Sus scrofa: one gene and its partner. The protein of the gene in region 2 interacts with the protein of the main gene of each other region in a biochemical or structural test. Links are inferred from orthologs where the notes say so. Each region holds a gene or a part of one and is shown on either strand. Other genes may lie near its edges.

What was found. The genes of interacting proteins can lie anywhere in the genome.
Region 1: the proteins of HNRNPA1 (region 2) and PSMD9 interact in a test that uses a peptide from one of them, tested with the Homo sapiens proteins (3 studies listed by BioGRID and IntAct, with this or other methods). The link is inferred for Sus scrofa from reciprocal best matches to the Homo sapiens genes HNRNPA1 and PSMD9.

The regions. Positions count from the first base shown.
Region 1 is NC_010456.5:30,819,037-30,823,882, reverse strand, and holds the start of PSMD9 (26S proteasome non-ATPase regulatory subunit 9), read left to right. Parts: upstream 1-1,747; 5' UTR 1,748-1,877; coding exon 1,878-2,015; intron 2,016-4,846. UniProt on the Homo sapiens protein: Acts as a chaperone during the assembly of the 26S proteasome, specifically of the base subcomplex of the PA700/19S regulatory complex (RC).
Region 2 is NC_010447.5:19,483,860-19,487,976, reverse strand, and holds the start of HNRNPA1 (heterogeneous nuclear ribonucleoprotein A1), read right to left. Parts: upstream 2,801-4,117; coding exon 2,786-2,800; intron 2,241-2,785; coding exon 2,124-2,240; intron 1,831-2,123; coding exon 1,684-1,830; intron 1,554-1,683; coding exon 1,343-1,553; intron 1,252-1,342; coding exon 1,159-1,251; intron 1,074-1,158; coding exon 981-1,073; intron 872-980; coding exon 797-871; intron 523-796; coding exon of another isoform or gene 364-522; intron 1-363. UniProt on the Homo sapiens protein: Involved in the packaging of pre-mRNA into hnRNP particles, transport of poly(A) mRNA from the nucleus to the cytoplasm and modulation of splice site selection.

The DNA.
Region 1 (4,846 bases), on a different chromosome or scaffold from region 2:
CTCAGTGGGTTAACGATCCGGCGTTGCCATGAGCTGTGGTGTAGGTTGCAGACGCGGCTCGGGATCCCACGTTGCTGTGGCTCTGGCGTAGGCCGGTGGCTACAGCTCCGATTCGACCCCTAGCCTGGGAACCTCCATATGCTGTGGGAGTGGCCCAAAGAAATAGCAGAAAGACAAAAAAAAAAAAATTCAATCAAGGATCATGCATTGCATTTATTTATTGTGTCTTTTTGTTTCTTTTTTTTTGGTGTCAATGTTAGAAATTTTAGTTTATATAAAAGAGATAATTGAACAAAATATAAGAGGCCTAATGTAATCAGTGCTATTTTTTTGTGTGTGTAAAGATTATTTTAGCAACTTTTTATTTTGAAATAATTTCAAATTTACAGAAAAGTTGCAATGATAGTACAAAGAATGTTCCTCTATGTTTCACCCGGAGACACCAATTATTTACACTGTCATATTTACATTTTCATTCTCTTGTCTGCAAATATATGTATGGACTTTTTTCCAAACCATTTGAAAGTAAGTTGCTTCTTTTGCCCCTAAATACTACAGAGGTCATTCTAAGGACATCATCTTAAATAACTACAGGTATCAAAATCAGGAAATTTAACTTTGGTACTATATTATCCATATTCAAATTTCCCCAGTTGTCCCAAAGATGTCTTTTATAGTTTGTTTTTTTTTTTTGAGGGAACCAGGATCCAATCAAGGATCACATGTTGCATTTAATTAGTTAATTGTTATGTCTCTTTAGTCTTTTGTTTTGTTTTTTGTGAACAATGGCATTCAGAAGTTCCTGGGCAAGGGATAAAACCCGAGCTACAGCAGTGACAACACTGGATCCTTAACCCATTGAGCCACCAGGGAACTCCTCTTTAGTCTTTAATCTAGGCAATTGCCTAACTTCTGTGTGGAAATTTCACAATAACGACCTTTTTGAAGAGCTTAGGTCAGTTGTTTGGAATGTCTCTCAAATTGGGTTTGTCTGTTTTTCATGATTGGATTCAGGACAAACATGTTTGACTGCTACATAGTGATGCTGTGTCCTATTCAGGGCAACATATTAGGAGGCACATGTTAAGATGTCACCGTTTGGGAGTTCCCGTCGTGGCGCAGTGGTTAACGAATCCGACTAGGAACCATGAGGTTGCGGGTTCGGTCCCTGGCCTTGCTCAGTGGGTTAAGGATCCAGCATTGCCGTGAGCTGTGGTGTAGGTTGCAGACGCGGCTCGGATCCCGCGTTGCTGTGGCTCTGGCGTAGGCCAGTGGCTACAGCTCTGATTAGACCCCTAGCCTGGGAACCTCCATATGCTGCGGGAGCGGCCAAAGAAATAGCAACAACAACAACAAAAGACAAAAAAAAAAAAAAAAAAAAAAAAAAGATGTCACCGTTTGATTAAGCTGGGTTCAAATTTGGGCTGCTTATTTTGCTAGTTGGGCAAGTGGGTTATTGAGATAGTTTTTTCAGCTGTCAAATGAGGGTAATAATAATAATCCTGGTTTTATGAGTTTGTTGATTAATACATATGGACAGTGTGTGATGCATTATGAGTATTTGATAAATTATTATTATTATTGTAGCACCTGCAGCATCTGTAAGTCCTGGGGCTAGGGGCTGAATTGGAGCTGCAGCTGCTGACATATACCACAGCCACCAGTCATACCCACACTCCACTAGTCACCACAGTACCAAGTGTTCCAGCAGGGTGTGGCTTCCGGTGGCACCGCCCTCTGACAAGCCACGCCCCTCTTTTCCTGGCGCCTGCGAATGGCGGTGGTGTTTTGGCCCGCCGGTGGAGCCGTAGCTACAGTCTCCTCGGGCGTTCGCAGCCGGAAAACCGGCTGTCCAGGATCCCGGACCGAGGTCCACAATGTCGGAGCAGGAGGCTAGGCAGAGCGGAGGTTCCCCGGAGGCCAGCGGGGTGACTGTAAGCGACATTCAGGCGCTGATACGGCGCAAGGAGGAGATCGAGGCGCAGATCAAAGCCAATTATGACGTGCTGGAGAGCGTGAGTGTGGGCACGGGGCTCCCGGGCGGGCGTGGGAGCCGCCCCAAGGCCTCCTGACGCGGTCCTGGGAACTGGGAGGCCTGGGAGGCCTGGGAGCTCAAGCGGTCGGTCCCTGCTTGAGCTCTCATGTGTGGATCTGGTTCTGCTTGGGAGGCTCAAGGCGCTGCAAGTGCGGCCTCTGTCGGTAGCAGGCAGTGAGGCAAATAACGTGAATAACTGGGACAATTAGTATTGACGTTCTAGCAAGCATTTATGGAGCCCTTGCTGGGTTCTGGGCGCTGTGTTAAGCGCTAAACATTGGTTAACTCGTTTAGTCCTCCCAGCGATCCTTTGGAAGGCAGCTGTGCTCACCACTATACCACCAACGCCACTGCCAACAATCCTTTGAAATGTGTTCTGCTGTTTACCCCATTTTAGGGTTGGGGAAACAGAGGCATTTCTTAAACCTGCCTCAGGTCACAGAGCTAATTAGTTTGCACAGGCAAGGTGATAATCACCTCTATCAGCCCTTGTTGTGTCCTGAGCTTTTTTAATCACTTTATGTTGGAGCTTCTTAAACTTTAATGTGTGTACGAATTACCTGGAGACATTGTTAAAATTCCGATTCTAATGGGGAGACAGTGTGCGGAAGCAGCTATGCATTTTTAGCAAATTCCCAGTGATGCTAACGGCGCTGGTCTCATGACAGAGCTTTGAGCGACAGGAAGTTCTCGTTATCCTTATGGTATAAGGAGGAAAGTGAGGCCTAGAGTCATGCATGTAGGAAGTGGCAGTGGTGAGGCTAGTTCCCAGGTCTCTCTGGCTCCAAAGCCACTTAATGTAAAACCACAAATCAGTTTGCAGAGGAAGAATAAATTAATCACATCTTATAAGGGGCAAATGGAATGCATTTTAGGTGATGGGAGTAAGGTGAAGTATCATATGGAGGCTGGGGTACTGTATGCTGAGTATTTACCTGAAGGGTGCTGGTTTATGTGTTATGTCATGGAATCCTCTCAGCTACTTTGTGAAGTTGGTATGTTACCCTTAGGCTCAGAAAGGGGAAGTCACTTGCTCAAATTCACAAAGTGGGATTCAGATCTGATGCTTATTGAATCCAGAATCAGTGCTTTTAAGTTGTGCCAGCAATTTCTCACACCTTAGATATTTTTTTTTACTTCAGGTGTATCTGTAAACCACCTGTACTATTATTCCCTTGATATTTTTCTTTGAGTTGACCCACCTTTTTTTTTTCCCTCAGGGGCCAGGGATTAGATCTGAACCACAGTTGCAAAGTAAGTCGCACCTGTGACAATGCCAGAACGTTCCACTGTGCCGGGCCTTGGATTGAACCTGTGCCCTAGCACTCCCAAGTGTGCCACAGTGGGAACTCCAAGTTGACTCTTTTTTTTAAAGATCATATGTCAGATTGTGGCATTGTGTGCTTTTTTTGTTTGATTTTTTTTTTTTTTCCCTTTTGGTTTTTAGGGCCACACCCGAGGCATATGGAAGTTCCCAGACTCTGGACTGAATCAGAGCTATAGCTGCCAGCCTATACCACAGCCACAGCAACTTGGGATCTGAGCTGTGTCTTCTACCTACACCACAGCTCATGGCAACGCTGAATCCCCGACCCACTGAATAAGGCCAGGGATTGAACCTACATCCCCATGGATCCTAGTTGGGTTCGTTTCTGCTGAGCCAGAACGGAACTCTCTGACCCTCCTTTTTTTTTTTTGGTCTTTTTGTCTTTTCTAGGGCCGCACCCTCGGCATATGGAGATTCCCAGGCTAGGGGTCTAATTGGAGCTGTAGGTGCCAGCCTATGCCATAGCCACAGCAATGCAGGATCCGAGCTGTGTCTGAGACCTACACCACACACAGCTCATGGCAACGCCGGATCCTTAACCCACTGAGCAAGGCCAGGAATCGAACCCACAATCTCATGGTTCCTAGGTGAATCCGTTAACCACTGAGCCACGATGGGAACTCCTGACCCACTTTTTTACTTAGATAATTTTATTTTAAAAGGAAATTTTGCAACTCAACAGCATATAAAAAAATGAGAATCTCTTCTCTTAAACATAAGGTGAAAGTGTATATCAAGGTGATCCATCCAAATATCTGTCAACTGATGAATAAATAAATAAAATGTGGTCTAACCATACAGTGGGATATTATTCAGTAAAAAGGAATGAAGTGCTAACACATGTTGCAGTGTGCATGAACCGTGAACATTTTGCTAAGCAGAAGAAGTTCATCACAAAAGACTACATATTTTGTGATTCCATTGATTGATTGACTGTGCCCGAGGCATGTATGTGCAAGTTCCTGGGCCAGGGATGGAATAAGAGCCACAACAGTGACAGTGCTGGATCCTTAAACTTTCTAGACCACCAGGGAACTCCTGTGATTCCATTTTTTTTTTTTTTTTTTTTGGTCTTTTTAGGGCTGCACCCATGGCATATGGAAGTTTCCAGGCTAGGGGTTGAATCGAAGCTCCAGCCGTTGGCCTGTGCTACAGCGACAGCAATGTGGGATCCCAGCTGCATTTGCAGCCTACACCACAGCTCACAGAAATACCTGATCCTTAACCCATTGAGTGAGGCCAGGGATCGAACCTGCATCCTCATGGATACTAGTCGAGTTCATTACCCCTGAGCCAGGATGGGAATTCCCTATGATTTCATTTATGTGAGATATCCAGAATAGGCAAATCCATAGACAGAAGATTGATTAATGGCTACTAGGGCTTGAGAGGAAGGGGGAATGAGAATGACTCCTAATGGGTTTGGGGTTTCTTTGGAAATGTTATAAAATTGATTATTGTGGAGTTCCCGTCGTGGCGCAGTG
Region 2 (4,117 bases):
ATTCAGTTGAATAATCCAGTAGCTAGAAATTTACCCCTGACTCACCATGGTAGAGCAAGTAGTATAGTCTCTAGCCTCGAAGGCTGTTGTTACCCATCCAGGGGCACCGCAAACACATGCTGGATACATCAACTAAGTGCCTAAATAAAAGCTAACCTAATCCCGATTAACTGTAGGCACCACTATCCCCCTTAATCTATTTGGGAGTGAGGCGGCCCCAGCTTAAAGCTAGGAGGAGGTAGCATTGCAAGCCCATTAAAAGAAAGTACCATGCAGTAAAACACATTATGCCTAGAGAGCATCAAGTTCCCATATGGCTAAGCTAGCTATTTGCACCAAGTACTTGGATCACTGGATACCTACCACTACCACCGCCAAAGCCGCCTCCGCCTCCTCCGTTGTTATAGCTGTCATAGCTGCCACTCCCGCCATAGCCACTGCCCTGGTTTCCATAACCCTGTCCACCACTTCCATAGCCTCTGCTTCCTCCAGAGTAACCAGGGCCGCCTCCTCCATAACCACCTACAAGAATACAATTCTTCTCAATAAGACACAAGTATTCAACATTCAAATTCTGTGCAAGCATGATGGCTAAAGGCCGGCTCACAACATGCTGTAAGAGTCAAACTTGAACTTATCATGCACTAAAGTTTTAGTATCTACTAGCCTATTCTAAAAGTAGTCAAACTTTTTACCTGTAGTTTCTTAAAAAACAAAAAAATCCAACAACAAAACGAACTAAAAAAACCCACACACGCACACACAAAATTTTAACAGTAAAAACAAAAAAACTTACCGTCATTACCAAATCCATTATAGCCATCCCCACTGCCACCATATCCACCACCACCACGACTGCCACCAAAGCCACCTGGAACAGAATTTAAAAGCCAGGTTTGAAGTATGTGGATCGCATACAAATCACACCCTTCTAAGCCTAAATTCTAAGAAGCGTTAAAATAATAAAAAACCATACATACCTCGACCACTAAAGTTTCCCCCACGACCAAAGTTGTCATTTCCACCAAAACCACCTCCACGACCACCACCAAAGTTTCCAGAACCACTTCGACCTGAAGAAAAAAATGTTAACGTTAAATTGTACCGGTTAAAATCATTCAAAATGATGCTTAAGGTTTAATTAAGCAACAAACTCACCTCTTTGGCTGGATGAAGCACTAGCCATCTCTTGCTTGGATAGGGCTTTCCTCACTTCACAGTTGTGGCCATTCACAGTGTGGTATTTCTGAACTGAAAAATTTGAAAGTAAGACACCATCTCAGAGTTTAGGACACAAATGGATTTCAGAACTCTTAGCGAATGCCAACCACCTGCTACTTACTGACAATCTTGTCTACGGAGTCATGGTCATCAAAAGTTACAAAAGCAAAACCTCTCTTTTTGCCACTGCCCCTGTCCGTCATGATTTCAATCACTTCGATTTTCCCATACTGTTCAAAATAATCTCTTAGGTGATGTTCTTCAGTGTCTTCTTTAATGCCACCAACAAAAATCTTTTTCACAGTTAAGTGGGCACCAGGTCTTTGAGAATCCTAAAGGGGGAGAAAATAGTAACAATCCTAAGACCATGTTAATACTAAGTCTGTTACATCCCCTTAATGTGAGTGAATCCTGCTAATCGAACATTTCCAGTCGATGAAACACAAGAAAAACATCACTTACTTCTCTTGAGACGGCCCTCTTTGGTTCCACAACTCTTCCATCCACCTTGTGCGGCCTTGCATTCATGGCTGCATCCACCTCCTCCACAGTGGCATACGTGACAAACCCGAAACCTCTGGAGCGCTTGGTGTTTGGGTCCCTCATTACCTTTAATGTTTATTTAGCACATGGTAAGACACCAGAAGTTACAGCCTTTTCTACCTTGACTAAGGCAATGGAAAACTTTCTACCAACCCTCTAAACGAAGCTCTTCAATGACCACCGCCCCCACCCCTTAAACCTAACAATTGGGAGCTTTTCAGCTATGAAGCCACACCTTCCTTTGTCAAGTAAGCTATAAAGTCAATAGGAATCTTCATAAGCATTCAAACAGCAACGACAGCGAGATAAGCCAAGAAAAACAACTAGCTCTAAGGCCTTTTGTCTCTTCCAAGTCTTACCACACAGTCTGTGAGCGTTCCCCATTGCTCAAAATGGCTCCTCAGACTCTCATCGGTTGTTTCAAAGCTCAAACCTCCGATGAAGAGCTTCCGCAGCTGTTCGGGCTCTTTGGGAGACTAGAAGTAGGGGCAAAAAAAGCGTTAAATAGGGCTATAACGCAAACAAGCTCCCCGCTACAAGAAGCAACACCAGGTAGCAACGTACGAAGCTTTTATTGTTCCCTCGGGTCGCTGTAAGCCACGTGCTTCTCCCCATCTGGGGAGGCGGTATGTTGGGGGCTGGGAAGCGGCGAGCGCATGCGCCCCTTACTCTCCCTACGACGCACGCGCAACAAAAGGACTGGGAGGGCGTGCATCGCCAAAATTGGACTACAGCTACTCTTTAAGAAAGTCGTCCACTAGGACAAGGATGAAAAACAGACCGAATGTGTCCACGAGCATTGCAAAAAAGAACGAGAGCAGCGTGATAACCAAGGATTGCACGACGACAGCCTCATGGCGACGAGGACAAAATGGCGACCTGAACTCAGGGAGGGGTAGGCCCCGGCAGCGACCGAAGAACTGCCGAAAAGGCTGGTGCAAGCAGCCAAACCAGACTGCACCCTACCAAACTCAGCAAGCGGCGAAGAAGAAAACGCAGATGAAAAAAGAGTCTCACTCACCTCTGACTTAGACATGACGGTAGTGGGGAGGAGGTTACAACGATGCTTACTCGGCGGCGTCCGGGGGCAGAAAGGAGTAATCTAACGAACGAGTCTGCCAGCCTACCTTCGGCCTCGCTTTTTTATCCCGCCTCCTCGCGTTCGGCATTGGTAGACTCCGCCCCTGAGTAGCTCTGATTGGATATTTGACATAGCTTTCCCCCACTATTGGTCTCTCGTATGCGTTGCTGTGTAACGTCATCCGTTTGGGCGTTCTACGCAGTCTCAACCCCTCCCGGTCCATTGGTTCCTAAGTAATATTATTCTTAACTAGACTGATTGGCTGGTCAACCAATGATTCATATTTGAATTATTTCGGGTATTGAGATAACTTTTTAATTAGCTATGTCCGGAATATTCAACGCCTGTGTCAAAGCATTTTTAATACTATGTATCAAAAAAGTAGCTAGCATGTGACAATTTGGCGGAACGGGGGCGGGGGCAAGATCGCCTGCTGAGCGCATGTGTAGTAAAATGGCGAGTTTACGCAGGCGCGCTAAGAAGTTCCGCCCGGAGCTTGCAACACGTGAAATGGCGGGCAGGAGACAGCGGCGAACCTAAGGCGCCTGCGTAGTGGCGGGAGTTGTGCCCCCTTTTGCGCAGGCGTAATGGGCGGGGAAAGGGTCGGGTCCCAGGATTGGTCGCGCAGGCGCAGGGAAGGATCCGTTTTGGCGGGCGGTTGGCGTTGCGCAGAAGGCGGCGGCGGCGGTGGCTTGTGGTCCGGCCGCACCACAGAGGAACAGGCGAGGCGTTAGCGTGAGTGATCGGTCTCGACCCCCGGTAAGTGGCGGACCATCTTGCCTACCCATACGAGGTCTTGAACTGACTCCAACTGGGCCCGTTATTGTGTGAAATGAATGGACCTCGGGGTGGGGGCTCGTGAAGGGGGAGCGGTGAGATCGGCCAACCAATGGAAGAACGGGGGCGGGATGTTTTATCCCCGTAGGTTCTGTGGAGCTTTGCAGCGGAAGAGTTTGACTGGCGAGTGTATAGGCCAATTGGGGCTGTCCTTAGCTGCCGACTCATCGGTCCTTGGGCCATCGGTATGTGGGAGGCGGGCTTTCTCCTCCTGAGCAGCATCTCACTGAGCCAATGAGCACGAAGCGCGCGGTAGGTTGGGCTCCTCCAAGAGGCCACGATTTGACTCCAATGGGGGATGCGGGAGTTGGGCGGTTAGGTGGATGGACCAAATCGGGAGCCAGTAGGCGAGCAGCCTCTGGAAAGCGCTCAGGCTGTTCGTCCAATCAGCGCTCCAAAAGAGGGAGGTCTTAGATTTGGGGATGCGAGGAAGGG